Arabidopsis thaliana: one gene and its partners. The protein of the gene in region 4 purifies or fractionates together with the protein of the main gene of each other region. This does not show direct contact. Each region holds a gene or a part of one and is shown on either strand. Other genes may lie near its edges.

What was found.
Region 1: the proteins of RPL3P (region 4) and AT1G16870 fractionate together in Arabidopsis thaliana (co-fractionation; one large-scale study listed by BioGRID). This does not show direct contact.
Region 2: the proteins of RPL3P (region 4) and AT1G16740 fractionate together in Arabidopsis thaliana (co-fractionation; one large-scale study listed by BioGRID). This does not show direct contact.
Region 3: the proteins of RPL3P (region 4) and AT5G23535 fractionate together in Arabidopsis thaliana (co-fractionation; one large-scale study listed by BioGRID). This does not show direct contact.

The regions. Positions count from the first base shown.
Region 1 is NC_003070.9:5,770,232-5,776,593, forward strand, and holds AT1G16870 (mitochondrial 28S ribosomal protein S29-like protein), read right to left. Parts: upstream 3,092-6,362; 5' UTR 2,927-3,091; coding exon 2,490-2,926; intron 2,382-2,489; coding exon 2,215-2,381; intron 2,008-2,214; coding exon 1,796-2,007; intron 1,716-1,795; coding exon 1,461-1,715; intron 1,345-1,460; coding exon 1,258-1,344; intron 1,187-1,257; coding exon 1,014-1,186; intron 845-1,013; coding exon 733-844; 3' UTR 501-732; downstream 1-500. Other genes in the region: ACR11 (uridylyltransferase-like protein), read left to right, coding at 3,565-3,719, 4,101-4,146, 4,233-4,370, 4,502-4,596, 4,738-4,822, 4,919-4,978, 5,309-5,364, 5,473-5,578 and 2 more; UBC36 (ubiquitin-conjugating enzyme 36), read right to left, coding at 6,319-6,356.
Region 2 is NC_003070.9:5,725,066-5,730,520, reverse strand, and holds AT1G16740 (Ribosomal protein L20), read right to left. Parts: upstream 2,900-5,455; 5' UTR 2,749-2,899; coding exon 2,563-2,748; intron 1,766-2,562; coding exon 1,571-1,765; 3' UTR 1,406-1,570; downstream 1-1,405. Other genes in the region: AT1G16750 (GPI-anchored adhesin-like protein, putative (Protein of unknown function, DUF547)), read left to right, coding at 1-204, 286-385, 466-525, 617-709, 789-908, 989-1,300; UP6 (uncharacterized protein), read left to right, coding at 3,209-3,673, 3,761-3,904; HCF173 (high chlorophyll fluorescence phenotype 173), read right to left, coding at 4,273-4,344, 4,423-4,470, 4,619-4,852, 4,919-4,984, 5,123-5,212, 5,315-5,395.
Region 3 is NC_003076.8:7,933,414-7,939,452, reverse strand, and holds AT5G23535 (KOW domain-containing protein), read right to left. Parts: upstream 4,138-6,039; 5' UTR 3,907-4,137; intron 3,657-3,906; exon of another isoform or gene 3,609-3,656; 5' UTR 3,583-3,608; coding exon 3,523-3,582; intron 3,433-3,522; coding exon 3,337-3,432; intron 2,942-3,336; coding exon 2,838-2,941; intron 2,750-2,837; coding exon 2,613-2,749; intron 2,409-2,612; coding exon 2,326-2,408; 3' UTR 2,048-2,325; downstream 1-2,047. Other genes in the region: AT5G23540 (Mov34/MPN/PAD-1 family protein), read right to left, coding at 114-305, 394-561, 653-829, 1,011-1,092, 1,184-1,361, 1,552-1,681; CXE18 (carboxyesterase 18), read left to right, coding at 5,080-6,039.
Region 4 is NC_003074.8:5,976,293-5,982,125, forward strand, and holds RPL3P (ribosomal protein L3 plastid), read right to left. Parts: upstream 3,403-5,833; 5' UTR 3,281-3,402; coding exon 2,909-3,280; intron 2,731-2,908; coding exon 2,521-2,730; intron 2,357-2,520; coding exon 2,252-2,356; intron 2,170-2,251; coding exon 2,056-2,169; intron 1,941-2,055; coding exon 1,767-1,940; 3' UTR 1,430-1,766; downstream 1-1,429. Other genes in the region: AT3G17460 (PHD finger family protein), read right to left, coding at 657-1,253; CRSH (Ca2+-activated RelA/spot-like protein), read left to right, coding at 3,531-3,956, 4,141-5,073, 5,145-5,435, 5,530-5,676.

The DNA of each region.
Region 1 (6,362 bases), on a different chromosome or scaffold from region 4:
TTTTTCATGAATCTGGAAAAAATGTGATCTTGCTGGTGGGTTCGTTTGGTGGTGGTTGTAGTGTTATTTTCTTTCCTTTTAATTCTCATTAAAATTTTTCTTTTGGGTCTCCGAGTTATTACGGTTAGGATGGTGATGCTTGGAGGGTGTGGTTTCATTTTCCTAAGATGAGCTAATTGTTTTTTCTTCTCATTCTTCTTCTTCGCCTTTTGGTTTGTATAGCTCTTCATGTCTATTCTTTTTCAATAGAACTTGTGTACTTTTCTCAATGTGTTATGTTATGTCTAAATTTTTCCTTTTTGTGAAAACAAACATCAATTTGGTGTTCTTTTTAAACCTATTTGGCTATCTTCTATGCTATATGGTTTTGGTGTAATCATAACTCCGCACAATAAATATGCAGTTCCGCAATTTCTTCCCATCAATTGCCTGTTTTGTGAGTGATTCTTTCACTCTTTCACAACTTTTTATTTTTGCATAACATTGTTATCAACTCGAGCGATAATAAATGAGAGGCACTGATTTTATTAGAAAGAAATTTAGGTCCAAAAACCAGTGTTTTACAGACAACAAGGAAACCTAAAACTACAAACTCAAACAACAAAAATCTTCCTTTAATTCAGAAAGGTCAATGAAAAGAGTTTCTCTCCCAAACTAACGGGATAACTTAAAACACCAGAAAAGGCGACAAATCAAGATCACAATCTATTTTGTTTGTTTGTATATTGTTCCTCAACGCATGAAAGGGGCTAACCAACGCATCTCTGCTCCATTTCCATTTGCCAGATAGTATATCTTCTTCCAGTTTTCTTCGTTGAATACTTCACGCCGAACTAGTCTTTGCCTGAAACAATACCATATTGAACGTTCGTGAAATCGATATTCGGTTTAGGCCCATACACATGTCAAGTAGATAGACTCAATAATGAACTATAACTAAAAAACGGGTCTGATCAGTTGAGAGGAGGATTACAGAGCTGAGTACTATTAAAATTGGTTTCATGTTAACTCACCGAAGGTAGTAATAGCAGACAGCTTCTGCTTCATCCAAAGAATAACGTGGGAATTGCTGACGAGCATCAACTGGAACATCTGGCAAGTCTTTGCGTAGTTTTCCTACTGCTGTTGAATGTGAGAATGCACCCACCATCATATCTTCATGCATCATGCTTCTGAAAGCATTCACCTGCCAAAAGAATTGAGTTAATTGCGATTTTTGTTTTCTGGATCATAAATCAATTTGGAAGAAAAATTCACCGTTGTAAGTTCTCTGGCATGTATAGGTCGGCAAGAACGCGGTGTTACGGGCTCTTCAAACTCGCTGAATGTAAACCAACTGTTATACTGAAAGACAAGTAAACAACAAGAAACAAGCAGCATTAGCTCTAGTGAAAAAGAGAGAGATTTAAAATAATAGAAGGCGAAATATGGTATCATAAAGGGGAAAACTGGGGACTAACTTGATCGATTACAATCAACACTGGTACATCTTTTACAACTGAGAGTTCTTTTCTAAGTCGCACAACGACATTAACAGCTGCATGAGTGCTCTTAATTCCCATTTGCACAAGGTCATACAGAGTTGAATCCTCGGGAATAGGCATAGCATCTGCTCCTTTCAAGTATCCAACACCCGCACCCTCTCCAAGCACGATAGGATCATGGATTTTGCACCGTAACTCTCTTAAGCGGGATTCATTGAACTTGACAAAATCCTACAGAAGTTAAGTTTATTAAGAAATGCTGTTAAATAGGAAGAATTCCATTCCAAAAGAGGAGGCATGTGGAATCTTGCCTTGAGAATATTCTCAGCTTGTAGAGGAGTGTCCCAAAACCCTGTATGTGGATTCTTATAGAAGTAGCCACCGTGAGTCCAGTCACGTCCTTTTGGTGCATATAAAACTAACCAGCCTTCGTCACGTGCCCAGTGAACAAGCATCGCCAGAGCAATACTCTTTCCACACTTAACAGGGCCATCCAAGACAATCTGCTTCTGAAGTTTGACACCTTTTCAGAAAGAAAGAGGAAGCAATGATTATAAATACCTATGGTATTACAGATCCCCGGATAAGGGCATATGACAAGCAAGACTTAGCAAACAAATTAGGCTGCTTTCGTTTCAAAGGAAAATAAAAACACACAAAACTGTTAACCATAGAAGAGATCACTAATCGTGATACTTAGAAATCAACATAACGGAAACAAAGAACACACCTTTACTGTCACTTGGCCACATGGGAGGATCAGCAATGCGTCTAAAATTATCCCTCAGAGCCAAGTAACTTTTTCTGACAAGCAATGCAGGTCTCCATGATTCATTAAACTCATCTTCAATTCCTGAAGCTAATCCTTCCGGCAGAACTGCTTTCAGTGCTGCCTCACTATCATTCCCACAATATATATATTACATCAACACACACAAAACGATTCATACAAAATTCTAAAAATAGATAAACAGAAACATAAGGGAAAGAGAGAATTGAGATTACTCGAATTTGAAGTAGGAGCCAATATCCTTGTGAGTCAGCTGCGATAGTGTAGTATCTTTGGGAGTAAAGAGAGGCCTTCCATTAGGACCAACATCTAGAGACGGAATCTTCTCATCATCAGCTAGTCTCTTGGCACGACCCGCTTCAAGGTCGTCTCCACCGGCGGCTCCAAACTCTCCTTCCTCAGCTCCGGCGGCACCAGGATCGCCGCCTTTAGGTTTGGATTTTTTGCCTTCAGATTTCTTCGTTTTGGTGATTGAAGATTTCGTGCTCTTCGAAGATGAAAAGCATCGATGAACGTGATCTAAACTCGGGAAAAGTGTTCCCACGGCGGCTGAAGTCGGAGGTGAGAAATGACAAACGGTATTATTTAGAATCGAAGACTTCCGATTCAATTTGGCATTCCCGGCGGCGATTCTTAAACCGTACTTCCACATTTCTCTGGTTCGTATCTCTTGAGTCTGACTCAAGGTTTTAGGGAGGGATTTGGACGCAAATCTGACGAACCAACGAGAGGGATGAAGCAGCGAGAAAGTGGCAAACTTGTAATTTTCGATATGATGATCACTTTAGCGTTAGGCCCATTAAACAGTGGGCTGAAGCGTTTGAGATGAAAGTTTGGGCCATAAAGGCCATTACTTATAAAGGATGACGTCATGTTCCATTTAACCTAGTTATTTGTTTTAGCGCCACCTAATGTTTTAACTAGTCGGTAAAACACTGACCAATAGCATGTCACATCCGATAAAATCGGGGCCAATAGGAATGTGAAGAATTTGTCGAATTGTGTACTTTTTTAAATTTTAAAAGAAGACAATATTTGGTGGAATTTAAAAAGAAAATGTAAAAGTAGGCAAGGAAAGGGAAAGCAAGAGAAATGGCGATCTAACGTTGAAGATAATAAGAAGGACGAAACGGGCATTTTTTTTTTGTGTGTGTGTGTCACATCTTTTTTATTATCCTCTCATGGCGGATAACACGAGACCTGTCCAAAGGCTCTTCTTCTTCTTCGTCATCACTACTACTACTCCTCTCTAACGTTTTCCTCATTCTTCTTAATTCCGATTTTTGAGTGATGGCTATGGCCTCTGCTTCTGGTTCTGCTCTTTGCTTCACTGATGCTTCTAGCTCTCTTGCTTTAAGACGCGATTGTGGAGCTCTTTGCTTGCCTCCTAGGACAGTTACGTTTGGATTTGTCGATAAACCTCTTGTCAATCTCGAGCGATTAAGGTTTTTGTTTTTTGGCTATCTCTTGATGCCTTCTTGAGAATTTGAATTCGAGCTTCTTTTGGATTGCTTTTTCGATTGTGATCTTAGTTTTGTGCTGATTCGAGTTTCATGAAGTAAATACTGTTTCCGAAACAAATTCTTTTGTAGTGAATTTTCTCCACAGATCTCTAAATCCTTAAAAAGCATCTGATACCTTTTTTTAACGATTATCAGAATTTTGTGTTCCGAGTTGCTAATCTTTTTAAAATGTCCAAATGATTTTATTGCTGGTTATAAATTCGTATCTTTTGCTGGAATTCGATTCAAAGCACAGATTGTTTTGAGCTGATCTTCTACGGATTCAAATACTTCAATTCAATTCTTTTTTTTTTTTTTCTTCAGATTATCCACTTTGAAGATTAGAGCATCAAATGCTACTGCTGTGGAGGTATGAAAATGAAATGATTACACAAGGACACTAGTAATTTGAATAGACTTTTTAAAGTTTATATGTTTTTGTTTTTGATTTTGAAGAATGGAAAGCAAGAAGGAAGTGCTGCTGATTCTGATAAAGTTCCAACTCCAGTTGTTATAATCGACCAAGATTCTGACCCTGATGCAACCGTTCTTGAAGTTACATTCGGAGATCGTCTTGGAGCTTTACTTGACACTGTAAGGAAGGATACCTTCTTCTTACTCACTTGTTGCTAGCTCTGCATAATCGACCAACATTCACAAAAGCTTCTTACTTCCTTTCCTGCTTTTTTGACTGCTTCTTGATCTGATCAACTTTGCCCTTCTAGATGAATGCGCTCAAAAACTTGGGATTGAATGTCGTCAAGGCAAATGTTTACCTTGATTCTTCCGGCAAGCACAACAAATTTGCCATTACTAGAGCGTATGTCTTTTCATATCATCAAAGAGTATTTTGAGCTCCAAGAGTCGTTTAGATAGTTAATGTTGCTTTGAATCGATTGACTCTGTCAAATAGTTGACTTTAGATTGAGTTTTGAGCTGACTGTAATTGTTGTTACAACAGAGATAGTGGAAGAAAAGTAGAAGACCCTGAATTGCTTGAGGCCATTCGTCTCACAGTCATAAACAATCTGCTTGAGTTTCATCCTGTAACTACTTCACATCCTAATATCCTCTCTTTCTATTTTTCCTATATCTTGCATAATTTTTTAACTCACACATTGCTTCTCGATGATTTGGATCAGGAATCAAGTTCTCAGTTGGCAATGGGAGCAGCTTTTGGTGTTCTTCCTCCAACTGAACCGGTAAAAACCTTAAACTGTGATGCTCTTTTTATAACCTTATCCACTTCTTTTGTATTGCACTAATTCTTCAAGTAGTTAGCATCCTCGAACATAAAGGTCAAGACTGCTTGTCGTTTCCTCGGTCACGTACAGATAAGAAACAATAATAGAGAAAACAAAGACTTAACTAATAATCAACATATTTGGATTTGGCGGGTCAATGTAGAGTACAAGTATTAAACTTCATTATAGTATTAATCACTTTGATGAAGAAGGGAATACCCACGCAACTTCAAAGTAGCTTCAAAATTCATTTTCCTTCTTCTGTATTTTGGATTGGGATGTTGACAGATTGACGTGGACATAGCAACACATATAACCATTGAAGATGATGGACCAGACCGCAGGTAATGTATACCCATACCTTATCTCAACTCTAGAACCTTATCCAAATGCTTTTATTCTTATGATATATGATCTGATCATTGATCCATAATTATTTGTTGATGATGCAGTTTACTCTTCATAGAATCAGCGGATAGACCTGGACTATTAGTTGAGCTGGTGAAGATCATTTCAGATATCAGCGTCGCTGTTGAATCTGGAGAATTCGACACCGAGGTATCTAATAATCCTGTTTTTTAATGTCTAAAACATATACCCTCCGCTATAATATCGCTCTGTTTCTCATGTTGCTTCTTCTTGTTGTATGTGAAACAAAAAGGGTTTGTTGGCTAAGGTGAAGTTTCATGTAAGCTACAGGAACAAAGCCCTAATCAAGCCTCTCCAGCAGGTTAAAATTCTGAAATTAGACTTTTCTCTTTGATAAGTTGAAATGTTTTTACTGAAATGAAATCAAATTTTGTATTTGTAGGTCCTTGCTAATAGTCTGAGGTACTTCTTGAGGCGTCCATCAACTGACGAGTCAAGTTTCTGATTATGCCCATTTTTCAAAATCTCAAGTCTCATTCCTCGTGACTACTATTTTTACCACTTTTTTTTTTTTTTACATTTGACCAAAATAAGCTGCTTCATACACCTGTAATAGTAACATTATGCATCATTCATCCAATTTACTTTGATTCACAACCTGTGAAAATCTGATTATCTACACCACTTTATAAAGATTATTATAGAGCATATATAACAAAAACAAAGATCAAAAGCAAGCACAATTGAAGAAAGTTAGATTCCAGATATGGGTAAACGAGTCTTAGATCCCCCTAGTTATACAAATTCAGAGAGTACAAATCTTTTTCCTCTGTTTTCAGAAAAAGGATTCAGATAAAACCTTGAGATAGAGTTTCACCATATATAATGTTATTTAAATGACAATGATCTTTCTCCATTTGCAGTCTTCTTTAAGCACCACTTGCGTAAAGACGAGTCCATTCCTTAGCTGCAT
Region 2 (5,455 bases), on a different chromosome or scaffold from region 4:
CAGGTGGGCACAGAGTCCACGGATCGATATTCAGAAGAACTCAGATGTTTTAGCCACAGAGAGCGATGTGTTTGATCTTTATACAGTCCAAGGAAAGCTGAGCTGGGCTGACATCGGGAGTTACAGATCTGCAACTGAAGTGGCTTCAATGTCTGTTGAGGAGAAAAGGCTCGGATATGCTTCAGATGAGTTATGGAGATTCAGGTATTAACACACAGTTCAAGCAACTTCTGAAGTTATGGTCCTTGGAACTTGACAAACTCTTATGTGGTATTTTCAATACAGGAACCTCGTTGAAAGACTTGCCAGAGTAAATCCAGCAGAACTAAGCCACAACGAGAAGCTTGCCTTCTGGATCAACATATACAATGCCATGATCATGCATGTAATAAAGTCTTTGGAATTTCTCTAAACTTAGATTTGCAGATACAACAAAACTTACAATTTCCTGATTGTCTGATTCAGGCATACTTGGCTTACGGCGTACCAAAAACTGACTTAAAGCTCTTCTCCTTGATGCAAAAGGTTTGATCTCCACACAAAAAAACTACTTAACTCTTCTTGGTTTGGTTCGGAGAGAGGTTAGTATAAGTCTCTGATTTGGAGATTCTATCAGGCTGCTTATACAGTTGGTGGCCATTCATACAACGCAGCAACGATCGAATACATGACTTTAAAGATGAGCCCTCCTCTGCATCGTCCTCAAATTGTACTAAACTCACCTTCTTTATTTTCTGCAATCTCTTCACTTTCTACTCTATAACTCTTACCTAAACCGGGATATTCAGGCTCTGCTTCTCTCCATTCTCAAGCTGAAAGTATCAGACGAACAGAGACAAGCGGGGATAAGTACACCGGAACCTCTAGTGTCATTTGCTCTCAGCTGCGGGATGCACTCATCTCCTGCGGTAATATTTCCATATCTATCTGCATTTTACATCAGATTCTTGAACCGATATTGCAAATTTCTCACAGAAATTGCTTGCAGGTGAGAATATACTCAGCCGAGAACGTAGGAGAAGAACTTGAAGAAGCTCAGAAAGATTATATCCAGGCGTCAGTGGGAGTGAGCCCAAGGGGAAAGTTGATTGTGCCCCAAATGCTTCACTGTTTCGCCAAGAAATCTGTCGATGACTGCAAGGTTGCTCTGTGGATTTCTCGTCATTTGCCTCCTCGCCAAGCTGCATTTGTTGAGCAGTGTATTCACAGGCGACAATGGTGGGGTTTTCTGGGTTCATCTAGTAGCAAATGCGGCATAGTTCCTTTTGATTCACGGTTCCGATATTTGTTTCTTCCGTAGCAAGGCATTGATTCACAATGATGTGATTAAAGCAAATACTGTTCCGATCCTAGGGTTTAGATCTATGATTATTTAGGTGATTCAATCTTATTTTCTCAAACTAATAAACAAATAAATGGATTTAGATCTGCTCAACGAAATAAAGAAGACGAAATACATTCTCTCAAATTGCAAAAGTATAGTAATATCACCGGGGTACATGTTATTCTGACAAATAACTAAATATTCCGTGTTCATAAGAAGGACAAGATTAAACTAACTTGGTCCTAACTAGGCATTGATGGATGAAATGTCTACTTTCCGAGATGCTTGGACCACGTTCTTGTTTCCAGGGAACGACTTGCGGGAGACATCCACAAGTGCTTTGAAACTGTAAGGTTCATGCATAGATAACTCAGAGAGGACTTTGCGGTTCAGCTGGATGTTCTCCTTCATCAGTCCATGGATGAAGTTCCCGTAGTTCACCTGTTTCAAGTTTTAGATGTTAGGATTCCAATCAAACATGTCATTTCCATCTTATTCAAAAGAAACAGAGTATTATAATAGCATATATTTAGCTTGTTACAAAGCTAAAACGAGGTAACCGAGTTAGAAAAATATGTTTCTCTACTTGAATTAGGAAGTAATCATTGTTTCAGTTAGATCAAAACTATTGACATGAAATGTGTTTTTCCTCTAATCAATCCGAAATGATTCACTTCTTTAAGCATATTTGAGTTTCAAATTAAACATTCACATCCAAAATCTCCATTGGATAAATATCTCAAACTCAGATATTGGAAAGCTCCAAATTGATCAAAGATACAACAGTAAAATCTGAAGAAAATAAGCTAATCTAAAATGCACTTTAATTCAACTATTCAATCTAATTCTTTCGCTTCTAGTTATAACCAACAAGTTTTAACTCTATCACTAGGTAGATGCAAACATAGAGTGCCACTGCATAAGAAAAATCTCTAGAATACAGCAAAAAAGTTAAGACTATAATGTAATCCATCAAGTTCTGTTTGAAACATCAAACTAGAACTTGTTATACTAGCAACCACAGACTCTGGAGAAATCAAGCACCCAAATTTAACAAAAGAAAACCCTAAATCCCAAGCTCCATCCTAAAAGAAACTCATCATAGATTGCAAAAATAAACCAACCAATATCTCAGAAGTTTTATTTATAAACTAATCATGATTTATCGAATCAATGCAATTAGCAGTGACGGGAAGCAAATAGGCAAAAATCTAATCAATATTGGGGGGAAAACGTACACCGTGCTGACGAGAACCGGCGTTGATGCGCTCGATCCAGAGACCTCTCATCTCACGTTTCTTGTTGCGCCTATCTCTGTAAGAGTACTGCAGAGCTTTCTCGACTCTTTCCCTCGCAATTCTTATACAATTCTTAGCTCTTCCTCTGAAACCCTTCGCTAGCTTGAAGATCTCCTTCTTGTTCATCTTTTCTCTTTATTCTTCTTCCTCCTCTATCTATTCTTCGTCCTTCTCTCACTAATACTGTAACTCCATTTCCTTCTTCTAACGCCGCCTCTGTGTATCCCCCTTCTGTTTCAATTCCGGGTCGATCGGGTCGGGTCGTAGACAAATCCGGTCACACAATTATTAAAACCAATTCTCCATCTACTGGGCCTTTATTATATAACATCACAAACTAAACAAAGCCCACTATCCCATCCAGTAACTCCCGACAGAGGACACGTGTTGCCATGTCATTACCACGTGTCACAAGCTTTCCAACTCTGCTTCATTTTCCCGGGAAACAAACAAAAACAGAACCATTATTACTTTTCCGGAAACAGAATTTAAGTGGCTTTGCTCTGTTCTTCTCGACCCATCACACAGAAAAAACCAAAAAAAGAAAGAATTTCAAGTTTTCAACTGTCAAAATCTTGTAGTAGTAATGGAAAATCATCACCGAATATCCGCCACAAAATACAACGGCGAAGCAGTGTCGGACGATGTGGGCCAGGGGAAGCTATATTCTCCAAACCACGCGATCAAAATCTCTCCAGAATCCGACGAAAACGTGGGCCAAGGGAACCTCTACTCTCCTGACCACGCGATCAAAATCGCAACGAACCCTGATTCCGTGGATTCCTCATCAGAGGAAGAAGAAGGAGAGAAGCAGAGGAAGACGATCATGTTGGGGCTGAAGAATCTTGCGGCGGTTAAGGATAAAGTGTTAGAAAAACTATCGGCTGCTTCGGTTCCATCTGAGTCGCTTGAAAACGCTAAACAGTTTTTGGAAGGAGCCATTAAGGATTTCGCCGGAGCGGCGCAGGGTATGACGAAAGACGCGTTGCACCGGATTAAAACTCAGCTCGCTGTTATTGTTCCGTCTGTTTCTCCTGCCGTCACCGAAAAGGTTTAGTTTTAAAAACAATTGGTCCACCGGGTAAACTAATTTGGACTCTTTTTTGGCTGACTTGTGAATTTACTTTTGACGGAGCAGATAGTGGACGATGCTGAGAAAGAAGCCATTGACGGAGAGGAAGAAGATGAGAGCAAGTCAAAAGAAAGCTCCGGAAAGTTGCCGTTTGTTTCTCCGACATCTTCGTTTTTCAGCTCTCTCGCCAAACCTTTCTCCAAGCTTTGATGGGTTTGTGTCGTACGCCTTCATGACTATCTGAGATAAATAAGACAAAGTCTGAGATCTTCTGAAGTTTCAATGTTTACTTATAATGAATGAAGATACTTTTTATGTTTATCATTCAAAATATTATGAGTTTTGTGTAATAGAAAACTGGGTTTCACACCCTTTTTATTATGTTGGTGGCCTTGGATTGTTTGTATTAGCACACAAATTTTAAGTTGAATATAAGAAATAAATGGTAATGGACATAAAGAGACCAAAGAGATTCTTGTATGTACAAGTTATACATGTACGTATGTATATATGCATGTAATGCGTATCAGAGCTTGAGATGTGTACAATATACAAAATGGAATCAATGATTCTTCTTCTCATGTGTTCTTCTCAAGTACAGATAAAGCCGGAGTCAGATAGTTGTTCGCCTTGTCTGGCAAATGAGCCACCTGAAAGAGACAAACACTATCAGATGATGTAATGATGTAGATGTGACTCTTATTGCAAGTGATTGTTTACTCTTTTACCAGCTCATAGAGTTCTATTCCTTGCTCAGCAACGTATTCATGGCAAACCTGTAAAAACCAAATGGAAGAAATTTGAGAGATCCATGATGTGATTTCTTCTTTATAGATCAAAGATTGAATCTTTCTTAGTTTTGGTTCTTGAAAAGGGTCAAAGATTGATTCTTTCTCAGTTGTTTCTCTATAAACTGCAACTCACATCAAAGCTTTTGTTTCTGGCGGTTGAATCGTGCAGTGCCTTGACACATATATCAGCCACATCCGCGCAACTAATGCCCTGAAATTGAAAGAAAATAGCGCATTGGGAAGTTATAAGTGGCTCCATCAGAGAACTTTTGCTAGGTGGCTTGAGTTTGTTTTTCGTGATTGAAATAACCTGAGAAATTCTGTTTCCTTGATCAAATATCAGAGCTCGTTGCCCGCCTGGTTCCTCCTATATCAGAAAATATGTATTCAGAGCCATATATATACAATATGGCTGGAGCTCAAAGAACATTACCTTCAAGGGACCAGGACGAATGATTGTGTATCCAAGGCCTGATCTCCTTAAAGAATCTTCACCAGCCTAACAAATTTAGCGGACATCAAGAGAGAAGGAGATAGAGATGTGAAAAGATGGAACCTACTGGCACAAAAGCCCTGACAATCCATAGCCTCGAAAGATTCAAGAGTTATTATGATGTGTAAGACAAAATGGACTTACCCTCTTAGCTTTCAACACTTGCTCCCTTCTGTTGGCTTCTACTCCCGAACCAGTACACGATACCAGAATAAAGTCTGTTTCTTGACCCGCCTGCAGACAAAAATGCAGGAAGCTGATGATGTATCTGTTTTTTTTTTCCGTTCTTTCAGGTGATAATCTTCAGTAAGTAGACATTAAGTTGGGAGTACTTACAGGCAAAGCTTTTATGTACTCAAATACAAGGCTAAAACTTCTCAAATCTTGTTGCGCACCAGCAAGTCCATCAACAGGCCTCTGAAAGAGGAAAAACCCCAAGAGATTGCTAACTCAGACACCAACGAATGAAAGTTTTCG
Region 3 (6,039 bases), on a different chromosome or scaffold from region 4:
TACAGTACAACCTTGTAAAAAGCTAGCAGATAAAAAGAGAACATTCAGTAGAAGCCAAAGAGATGCAGAAGAACAAAGCTCAATGACTTGAAGCGGCTGGAGAAGTAAGCTCTCTAGAAGACAACAGTGTCGAGCATAGTGCCTAGTGTCTGAACAATGTTGGATGACATGAGGTTCGAGACATGTTCTTCCAGATGCTTCTTTGCATCTTGTCTTCCCACATTCACAATTGCCAGCTTCTCTGGTGACAACTCGTCCTCCTCTTGAACCGCCTTGTTATATTTAGCAGCCAAGCTCAACATCTCCTGTTAAACAGGAGATAATGAAAATGTCAATGAACATGATTGTAGAATATGCTTGAACAGATAAAAACATAACCCTGTGTTTCTTTACCTGGACCGTCTGTTCGTTGGTCTTGGAGTGGGTGTCAAAGCGTCTTAGCGTCAGACCATCTGTCCATTTCTTCTTGTGGAGGTTGAGTAACATCTTCTCCTCAAGCTCGTTCTTCCTATAGTTGATTGCTATTGAGTAATAGTGTCTGTTCAACCCGTGAATCAAAGCCTGCATAGTAGTATCCAAAAGTCAGTATCAGAGAAAACCTTTGATTTCGTTTCAACTTAAAAACAGGACACATTCAGTTAGTGATAATCACCTGGATCGATGGTTTGTTCAAGTGCCCAAGGTTCGATGTTGTTTGACGGGGTTCCTGCCCAAGCATAATGGTCTGTGGATTTATGGAGCGGAACGCATCAATCACCACCTTTCCTTTCACACTCTGAATCGGATCTACCACCACTGCTACAGCTCGCTGATTCAAAGCTTCAAAACTCTACAAAAGCACACAGATATTCACAATGAACATATATAATACAAAGTGAATCACAACAGGGTATAGAACACAATGAGTAACATTCTATTTAGTTTTTTGAGCCATCAATAAAGCAAACAACAAATTCTCAAGTGCAATTCACAAATTGATAAGTATGCAAACAGAGCAAACAAAACTCTACCTGTTGAGTATTAATGTCAACCCCAGAAAGCCAGCAGCCGAATCCAGGATGTGAATGATACCAACCAACCACCATCTCAGGTCTGAAACAAGATACAAGAAGAATCAGATCCAAAACCTAAATAGGAAACCTCACTTAAGCGTAGTAAATAGGTTTAGAGAAGAACTAGTTACCTTCCGGTCTGTTTAAGCATGTCGAGCATATTAGTCTGGAAAACATGATCAACAGCTTCAACACTAACACCAGTACCACTCTGAGGCATCGCAAAAACATCCACAACCCTAACAGTGTATTCATCCACAAACTCTCCAAGCATCAATCCCATGACTTCCATAGGAACACCAGCTCTTCCTGCAATATTCCGATCAATTTTCATTAAATCTCTACTCAAATCCGCATTTTGAATCTCAGAAACAGATCGAATAAAACCCTAGAGTTCCAGAGCAAAAGAGGACGAGAGTAAAATCACAGAGAACGAGACAAAATCATAAAACCCTAAGCAAGAGAAGACTAAATTAGAGCTTGGGTTTGGATTGATTACCGTGCTTAAGCATCTTGAGGAGAGCGAGAGAAGAGATGTAAACCTGCTCCGATGTATCGAGAGTCGGAGAATCAGGCGATGCGTGACCTAAACCGCCACCAGCTCCGAAGATTCTCTGTAGTCTCTCCATAATCAGATGAATTGATTAGTCGTCTTCTTCGAAAGTTTGTTCTTCTGGGTTTTTGCTACAAGAATGGGATCTTATAAGAAAACCTTTCTCAGTTTTCTTTGTTAACAAGACAGACGAAGATGGATCGAATTACTCGATTAGGCGACACTAATTACATATAAGTCCTTCAATATTTCCTTTTATTTATTGTAACCAATAATTCACCAAATTTCCAAATCATCCCCAAAAATAAAAGTTAATAACCAATTTGAATTTCCATATTTTTTTTGTCAAAATTTTAAATTTCATTACAATGCAAATCATGTCATTGTGTTAATATTGTTAATTCGGTTGCATAATATAAATCTACTTTACTTAGAGCTTATAGTTTTCGTTTTATGTTTAGACTTCTGGCTAGTGTATATACAATAACTAAACATGTAAATATTGAACTGTTTTCCAGACGGATTTTATTTGGCACCTTGAAAGTTCACAAGATCAATGAAAGAAAAAAGGAAAACGACTCCGTTTCAGTCATGATCAAAGGTTCTCCAACAAAACCTCACAGCTCTAGACCGAAATCAAACTCTAATGGATGGGAAAAAGAAGAATCCTTTTTGAGAGCAGGCAACATTTTCCAAACGAAACTGTAGAGAGGTTTCAACTCAAAGATCAGGCATGCCCTTTCCAGTTTTAGCATCATATGTCTGCTCCCAGACAAACTCCATTGGTGTGTCCTTAGGGCCAGCTGCAAAGAGAAAAGTATGAATCCTTCTATAAGAAAACCGCTACTATCAAGTTTGTTGATTATGTTGATAGCAAACGAATTATGTTGATTCTATGTTTATCTTATAGCCGATCTATGATTATGTTTTTTTCTCAGATAGCTAACAGACTTCCACTATATATTTCCAAAATCCAACGTTTAAAGAGATATTGAGCTTCTATGTACCAGTTGTGGGTCGCGGCGTTGCCCTTATCTTTAGAATCTCTGGTCGGGGAATTATGGAACCAGATGTGCCAGTGCCTCTGGCTACTCTTACTTTTGTTCCATCTTCTAGGTATTTTACACCAACCTTACAAGGCCTCCTGTGGTAGAAAAGATAATAGATTAATAAGTGATCTCTCGCTTGAGCAAAAGAGTAATTGGAGACAGTAGTGCAGAGTGAAATCATACCCAGTGACAGGATCAACAACTTGGACATTTGAGGCGTGAAGAGGAGCCTCTACAGTGAAAATTCCACCTTCGTGATCAGGGCCTCCCTTTATATGTTTCTTGATCTGAGAACACAGGAAAAAAAAAGCATCAGCGAAAAACATATACAAGCTTCAGTGAGTAGACAAAGACTATCCCAGCAGCAAGGTAGAACATCCAAAACGATAACAGTTTCAAGATAAACAATTCAAAAGAATTGTGTAGCGAAATCCATGGAACTAGAGTCGCTTTGTGATTTAGTAACCGTCTACTTGATGCTTGGATTAAAAAAATGAGAATCAAATGAAAATTGATAACTCTATGGTTGGTGTTGAGCTAGTGATATGATATTGATTCAGTACTAGTTCATACTCTACAAACCAAATCAAGAACAAAAAAATCAAAAAATGAACTTGTACATTCATTCTCTAAATGCATGAGACAGAGCGAACAAAAGATATCCAGAACAAGACTATCTCACCAGATTCTTCCCTTCAACGATGACACGATTTTGGGATCGAATGACACGCTTTATGGTTCCAGTCTCACCCTTATCTTTCCCACGAATTATCATTACCTGCACATAAAATCATACCCCAGAAACAACAGATCAAAAATGAAACCAAACTAATGAACACCACAAGAAGAACATGAGTGGTGTACTCACATTGTCTCCTCGAAGTATCTTCCAGTGTCTGATGAGTTTCTCAGCAGCTTTCCAGCCCATAGCTGCTACTCTCTTTGAGAATAATCCTAAAAATTACATCACAACAAATTCACGTCTTTCTTCTAACAAAAAAAACAACGAGAAACGGAAAGCATGAAGAATCCAAATCAAAGAAATTGAAAATGGCAGGGCCAATTTCGAGGGTTTTCAACTGCGGAAAGCCACCTAAATTAGGGTTTTTTCACGTCAAAGATACGCAACCAAAAAATTTATACATAATTCCGATCTAATTCGAAAAGGGAGAAAATTGATGATTAGAAATGATATCGCCGAAATTGACAATTAGGATGCGAAAACAAGTTTGGTCTAATAGAAGAAGCTTGCCTCTGAGAATTAATCGAGAGATCGAGGAAGAGGAAACCAATGGAGTTGAAGCTTTTTTGTTTTCCGCCGACGGTGCAGGCAGCGTTAACCACGGTGGCGAAGAAGTCGTCAGTATTTTGATTGTGAGTGTAAAAAAGATAAACCCTAAAACCTCTCATGTCTTCAAACATTAAAACGACACCGCATTCGCAATTTGGCCAAAAAAATTATAAGTCACTAACTAATTAGGTATTAACGATTTTAATTAATTGGGATGAGACGATATATGCTCTGTTTTCTTTTCTTTACTAGAGATGCACTGTTGATGTATTATTAGAGACCAAATTTTTTGTATTCCGATGTGTTAGAAGTTCACATTTTTATATGGTTTGAACTTGGAAGGTAACTACGGGATTAAATATGCCTGGATTATATCGTGTATCTAAATCATGATGGTGTAAATTCGTTCTTGTTTTGCTTTTTGCTTTGAATGGATGTTGTAGTTAGTGCGGACTAATCCGTAGCGGTTTAGTCCATACCATTTTTGGGTCGGACAACAAACCGATGCGGACTTAGTTTAAAGACTGTCCGCAGTTAGTCCGATGCGGTTGTCTTCTATTTTTTTTAAGTATGTACTATTACGGATTATAATTTATGAATGGTAAATAAAAAGCGGTCCGGTCTATAAACGGTTTTGTCTGTTTGGACCGCTGTAATCATTCAAAGTTTGTTTTTACAAATTTACCCATGACCACTGTTGAATCTAACATAGAGAAGAATTGAATGAGATTGAAAATTAGTTGATGCAGGTTTCTGACATTAGAAATTACTTGCCTCCTGCAACATGTACATTGATTGAATCTACTTGCTCTTATGTGACTCCATTGCGTTGGCCATGTGACATGACTTCATCGACATTCAACACTGTAGTAGAAGAAAACTAGTGACTTAAACCTTAAGCCAAATCCAAAATATTTGAGATTTTTTTCTATTTTTACGTTTACGTGTTTCCTTGAAACGATTATTTTCATTAGTTGTTCTAACTATAAACGTCAATAAAAACATAGAAAATTACAGCTGGCAGAATATTTCTTAGCCTATATAGACGAAGTAATAACAGCTTACAAATTCACTGTACTCTTCCACCAAATCCATTAATCATCATCTTTTCTTCACAGAGAGGAAAAAAAAAAAATGGCGACAGATTCTCAACCAAACCAAAAGCTAACGCTTCCGTTAAAAACAAGAATCGCTCTCACCGTTATCTCCACCATGACCGATAACGCTCAACGTCCTGACGGAACTATCAACCGCCGTTTCCTCCGCCTCTTCGATTTCCGTGCTCCTCCCAATCCTAAACCCGTCAACATCGTCTCCACCTCCGATTTCGTCGTGGATCAATCCCGTGATCTCTGGTTCCGATTGTACACTCCACATGTCTCCGGCGATAAAATCCCCGTCGTTGTTTTCTTCCACGGCGGTGGTTTCGCTTTCCTCAGTCCTAATGCGTATCCTTACGATAATGTATGCCGGAGATTCGCTAGGAAATTACCTGCTTATGTCATCTCCGTTAACTACCGTCTCGCTCCGGAGCATCGTTATCCTGCTCAATACGACGACGGTTTCGATGCTTTGAAGTACATCGAGGAGAATCACGGTTCGATTCTTCCGGCGAACGCTGATCTCTCGAGATGCTTCTTCGCCGGAGACAGTGCAGGTGGAAACATCGCGCACAACGTCGCGATTCGAATTTGTCGCGAGCCGCGGTCATCTTTCACCGCCGTGAAACTCATCGGACTTATCTCGATTCAACCTTTCTTCGGCGGAGAAGAGAGAACGGAAGCGGAGAAACAACTCGTCGGAGCTCCTTTGGTTTCACCGGACCGAACAGATTGGTGCTGGAAAGCGATGGGATTAAACCGGGATCATGAAGCGGTTAACGTCGGCGGACCAAACGCGGTTGATATATCGGGTCTGGATTATCCGGAGACGATGGTGGTAGTAGCTGGGTTTGATCCGTTAAAAGATTGGCAGAGAAGTTACTACGAGTGGTTAAAGTTATGCGGTAAAAAAGCAACGTTAATCGAATATCCAAACATGTTTCATGCGTTTTACATTTTCCCTGAATTGCCTGAGGCGGGTCAGTTAATTATG
Region 4 (5,833 bases):
AACATAACTTTGGAAGTTCCTGAACTTGGTCTTTCAATTTTCGTGTTGCAAAAACAGTTTTACCTATATTAATTTTACCAATTCAAATTATATAATTTTCCAATCAAGCAAAAGTAGTGACTTTATCACATTTTTCAAGCCAAAAACATCAACGCATTATCATTTCTTGGCTCGAGAACTCTGAATCATCCAAAACATTCTTCAATGTGTGCTTTATCACAACTTCCAAACCAAAACATCAACGTATTATCACTTTCTTGGATAAGTGCCAATCAAAACCTAATTCACTAGCTGGAGAACTCTAAAAATATCAAACCTTCCATGAAAATCTCCAAACCAGTAAAGCCACACAACAAGATGAACTCTTGAAATCATACAGATACTTTTAAAGATTGAAGATGGAACCGATTAATATGAATGAATGTCACTGAGTCTTACACACACCATTGTACAAAATAAAAGCCCTAATGTATCCTAATTCAAAGTCTCCAGCTTTCTCTGGGAGACATTTGATCAAACACGTCTGAATATGAACTAAAATTCACCAAGATAAATGGCCAATAACCGCAAAAAAGTAGTCTTTCCTTGAACCCTAGAAGCGATATATCACACAAAAGCTCTACGTACCAGTAAAATTGCTATCAAGATTTAGAAAATCAGCGTTCATCTTCCTTCCTCTTGCCGGTGACCTTACTCTGTCGAATAACAATATCCTGAAGATTCGTCAATGCACCTTTAGCTCTCAACTTGGCCGTTTTAGCTGCTATGATCTTCTTAAGAGCTTCTTCCTTTAACAGAGCCACCGCTTTATTCATATTAGCCACCGAGATATTTCCAGCTGCGACAAGAGCCATTGCCGATTTCGGAGTGAGAGGCGTTTCATCGGGGACGTCTTCATTGACTCGAGATTTGGGGAAGAAGGTGAAATTGGGGTTAGAACATGGCTGGCATGTGAAGGAAGAAGCTGGTGGTGGAGCGGAGGAGGAGGAAGATGCGGCGGAGGAAGACGGCGGCTGAGTTGAGCAAGAAAGGTGGGTGCTTGATGGGCAATTGACGCAGATGATACGAGCTTGTGGAGGAACGGCGTTGTCGAAGAGATTGAAACAAACAGAGCAAAAGTGTTCTCGGTACTCTTTGAGCAAACAATCGGTGCAGAGTCGCCGGAAAGCGCCGGTTTTGATGACGGTGTGGATGAACGACGGCTCTTTTTCACGGCAGACTATGCATTCGCGCTGTTTCTGTTCCGGATTCATGGCTAAGTCAACGAGATTGAGAACTCTCTCCCTCAACGGTAACCCTAAGCGAGAGAGAGAGAGAGAAAGATGAAAGAAGCGTTTGTGTTGTTCTCAGAATGTTGAAGATCTTGGGCTTGAAGAGACTTCAACGTATAATTCTATTGGGAGCTGAAAAAACTTATATAGAAGATTAAAAATTGGGTCTTGATTCTTGTTGAATTAAAAACAGAATCTTTTATTTTTTGTTAATACGAAGTGTATATATTTGGAAGATGAAAGGAAACATAATAATCTTGTGTTTTCCTCATTGCTTATTGCAAACTCTTAAGCATTGTGATATAACAAATGCGAGCAAGCCTAAATTCCTCTATTTAATCGTTTTCAAATCATACATCCAAACAACTAAAATAAGAAAAAGACAAATTCATCTGCAAAAAGCTTTAGCTCTGTGATTCCTTCACTTCCACAGCTTCTTTCTGGTCTCTAATCATTGTAAAAGCCCAAATAAAGATCAAGATCATGCTGTTTTCATCACTCTGCCAACATAAATGGGTCAACTTCTCCAAGATCTGCAACCAACGGTTCTAATTCTGATGGATCTTCATCTTCTGGAGCTAAGTAAGTTGGAAACGGAAGCTTTGAGATGTCTGGTTTCTTGCACCATGCATCTTTTATGAACACAAAGTTTCCTTCTGCACCAGGAACCTGCAACAACACCAAATCACAATCATGACCTACTAATAAGAGAAGAGAAATGGAGCTCATGTTTTGTGACAGACAGATCCTAGCCAAAGACTGGAACTGGGATTGAGATACTTACTTGTCCTCTCACCCACATGAGGTTCCTCGCAGGATCGATCTTGTAGACCCAAACGTTCTTTACTGTCCTCTGATCTGCACCCATTCTCCCAGCCATCTTTCTGCCCTTGAACACCTACTCAAGTGTATTTATCAAGTCAGTAGTGTCATTTGCTTTGGAGAAAAATTCCCAAGAATCTTAGCAATTTGACACATACCTTTCCAGGAGCATCTCTTTGCCCTGTGGAACCCCCGCTTCGATGGGACAATGAAGCACCATGTGATGCCGGCATTCCACTGAAACCATGTCTTTTCATGCATCCCTGCAAATTACACAGCAAAAGACATCAATAACACAGCCATTACTTTGCACAAACACTATTTCATCCGCACTCCATTCTATATATCTGCCACATTGTCACTAGACTATTCAACTTATCATCGCAAAGAAAAGATAAAACTTTAGAGCCCCTGAGAATGGTTTCACCTGAAAACCTTTTCCTCGAGTGATCCCAGTGACATCAACGTACTGTCCCGGAACAAAATGGCGGACACCGAGTGAAGTACCAACAGGAAGAAGAGCGTCTTCAGTCACAGGAAATTCCCTCAACTTCCTCTTTAACGGCACACCTTGTGCTCTGAAATGCCCCACCACAGCTTTTGACAAATGCTTCGGTTTCTTTTGCCCACATCCGATCTAACTAACAGAACAACACATGCCAATCAAATTACTAAACCATGAGCTTCATAAACCCACACATAAAGTTACAGCAATCGATTGATTGATCAAGTAACCACTAAGAGCCCTATCAATAAATCCAGGAGATACAAACTACATGGCCAAAATGGGAATGAGTAAACTGCGATGGAGTTACCTGTAACGCAAAAATGCCTTCTTTCTCAACAGTTTTAACCTGAGAGACGATATTATCATCAACCCAAAGAATAGAAATCGGAATCCTCTTTCCCCATTTGTCCCAGAGCGCAGTCATCCCACACTTAACCGCGATGATCCCAGTCCTCTTGGATCTACTAGACATCTCACCTTGTTTCGCCTCAATGATTCGGGTCTGAGCCCCGATAATATCAGATCCACCACCGTCCATCAACCCAGTATCGGAGCTGAATCGTCGGATGAGAAAGAAGCTACTACAATGAGGAAGAGATTCAGAGGATGAAGGAGTTATAGACCGTATTGATAGAAACTGATTGATTCGAGAAAGGAGGCCTCTCGGTACGGCCGCCATGATTTCGAATCGAAGCGACCTTCAATGGCTAAAGTCTAAACGAAGAAGGAGAGAGATGCAGAAACCAGAACTCTCAAGGCTTTTGCGTAGGGTTTTAGATGGGCGACAAAATGATAACCAAAGCCTCTATCTCAGAAAGAGAGTCTCAATATTATTTATTTCCCTCTTTTTATAATATGTGGACGATAATAAAAACAAAATCCTACGTGGCTTATCCATTGCGACATATAAAACAAAAACAAAACGGTACATGAAAATTTTGCCTCAATTTTCAAAATCAATCTCAAATTCTCAAATGTCTGTGATTCGTCCTTCTCCGATTCCAATTCCGAGATGCAGATCTCAGGTACTGCATCGTCGTCTTTATTCGATTCAATTGATTCAGCGACGACGTCGACGGTGGAATCCGAGGTCGGAGGTGGAGGATACTGCGATTGAATCGACGGCTCGGTCTCCGGAGGCAGCGGGAGGGAAAATGGTGGTGGAGCTTGTTGGAGCTTTCAACGAAGTAACGGAGAGGATGAATTCGGTTTGGTTGTCGACGTCTTCGTCTAGGTTACTCTTTAAAGCTCTCAAGCTCTCGATTCCGATTTTACAGTCTCTTCCTCTTGCCTCTGATGGTCGCTCTCCTCTTTCTAAGGCTCTCTCACTCTCTATCATTCTCGCAGATCTCCAGGTTTACTCTCGATCCTTGCATTTTTCACAGTTTCTTGTTTAGATGAATTAGGTTTTGTTGTTGATTCTGTGACGAAATTGAAGCATTAAGTTAGAACTAGAATCTGAGATTAAGTGAGTTCTGTGACATTGTTATTTGAAAAGCTCTATCAATTGATATTTGATAAATTATGTGGTAATGGTAGATGGATGCAGAAGTTATCTCGGCGAGTATATTGAGTGAGGTGGTGGACGCGAATGCGATATCTATATATGAAGTTAGAGACCATATTGGTACTGGAACTGCTCATCTGCTTCATGAGATTTTTCGTGTGAAGAATATTCCTTTTAAAGTTGATGTGTTAGACGATGAAACTGCTGCTTCATTGAGAAAGTTCTATTTAACCTACTATGACATCAGAGCTGTGATTATGGATTTGGTTTCAAAGCTTGATGAGATGAGGCATTTGGATCACTTGCCAAGGTATCGCCAGCAGATTCTCTCTCTTGAAGTGTTGAAGATTTATTCTCCTTTAGCTCATGCGGTGGGGGCTAATCACCTGTCACTTGAGCTCGAGGACATCTCTTTCCGTTATCTTTTTCCGTGTTCGTATATATACTTAGATTCATGGTTAAGAGGTCACGAGAACGGGTCTAAACCGTTGATAGACGTGTACAAAGAGCAGCTTCATCGGTCTTTGAAGGATGATTTGGTTTTGGCTGAAATGGTGAATGATGTATATATTAAAGGTCGGTATAAAAGTCGGTACAGCATGATGAAGAAGCTCCTAAGAGATGGGCGTAAACCGGAAGAAGTGAACGATGTGCTTGGTCTACGGGTCATATTAATGCCTAATTCTGTAGTAAACGATGTTGAAGTTGGCGAAAAAGCCTGTTACAGAACAAGTGAGATTATCCGGTCTTTGTGGAAGGAGATTCCGCATAGAACAAAAGACTACATTGCTAGGCCAAAGGAAAATGGGTATAGGAGTTTACACATGGCAGTTGATGTTAGCGACAGCGATCAGATAAGACCTTTGATGGAGATACAAATACGGACAATGGATATGGATGGATCCGCTAATGCTGGAACAGCATCACATTCTTTGTATAAAGGCGGTCTAACCGACCCAAAAGAGGTAAGCACTTCTGTGATTTTTTAGTTTGGCAAATTTAGGAGGTTGAGTTGTTTGTTTAAATTCATGTTTAGGCGAAGCGGCTTAAAGCGATAATGTTGGCAGCAGCGGATCTTGCAGCGATTCGTCTCAAAGATATCTCATCAAATAAACACCAAAGCTTCAAGACAACAACGAACCAGAGAGACAGAGTGTTTTGCCTTCTGGACAAAAACGGGGACGGAATGATCAGCATAGAGGAACTAATGGAAGTGATGGAAGAGCTTGGAGCTCCAGGTGAAGACGCAGAGGAGATGATGCAGCTTCTTGACTCTAACAGCGATGGATCTCTTAGTTCAGACGAATTCGATACGTTTCAGAAACAAGTCCGTTTATTTTTGTTTTCTAACATAAATTTTTCTTCCTCTCTTTTATTTTATAAGTGACTTACTGATGAGGTGTGTGGTTTGTGTTTTGCAGGTAGAGTTCATGCGTAAATGGGAAGATAGAGATAACGAGTACAAGAGTCTTTTAGACGAGAAGCTTCATGATCTTCCACATCAAGATACCACAGGTTTGATACAGTTATACAATAAAGAGCTTGAGGATCGTCTCTCAACCCATTAAAATATCAAACCATTTTTCTACATTCTAATATTGTGTATATATGTATTCCTAATTAATTAATTATCTGTTGACAAAAATATGTATTTCAATCACACACATTCAATTTTACCATACATTTATTTATCATAACAAACTGCTTGTTAATTCTATAGACTAC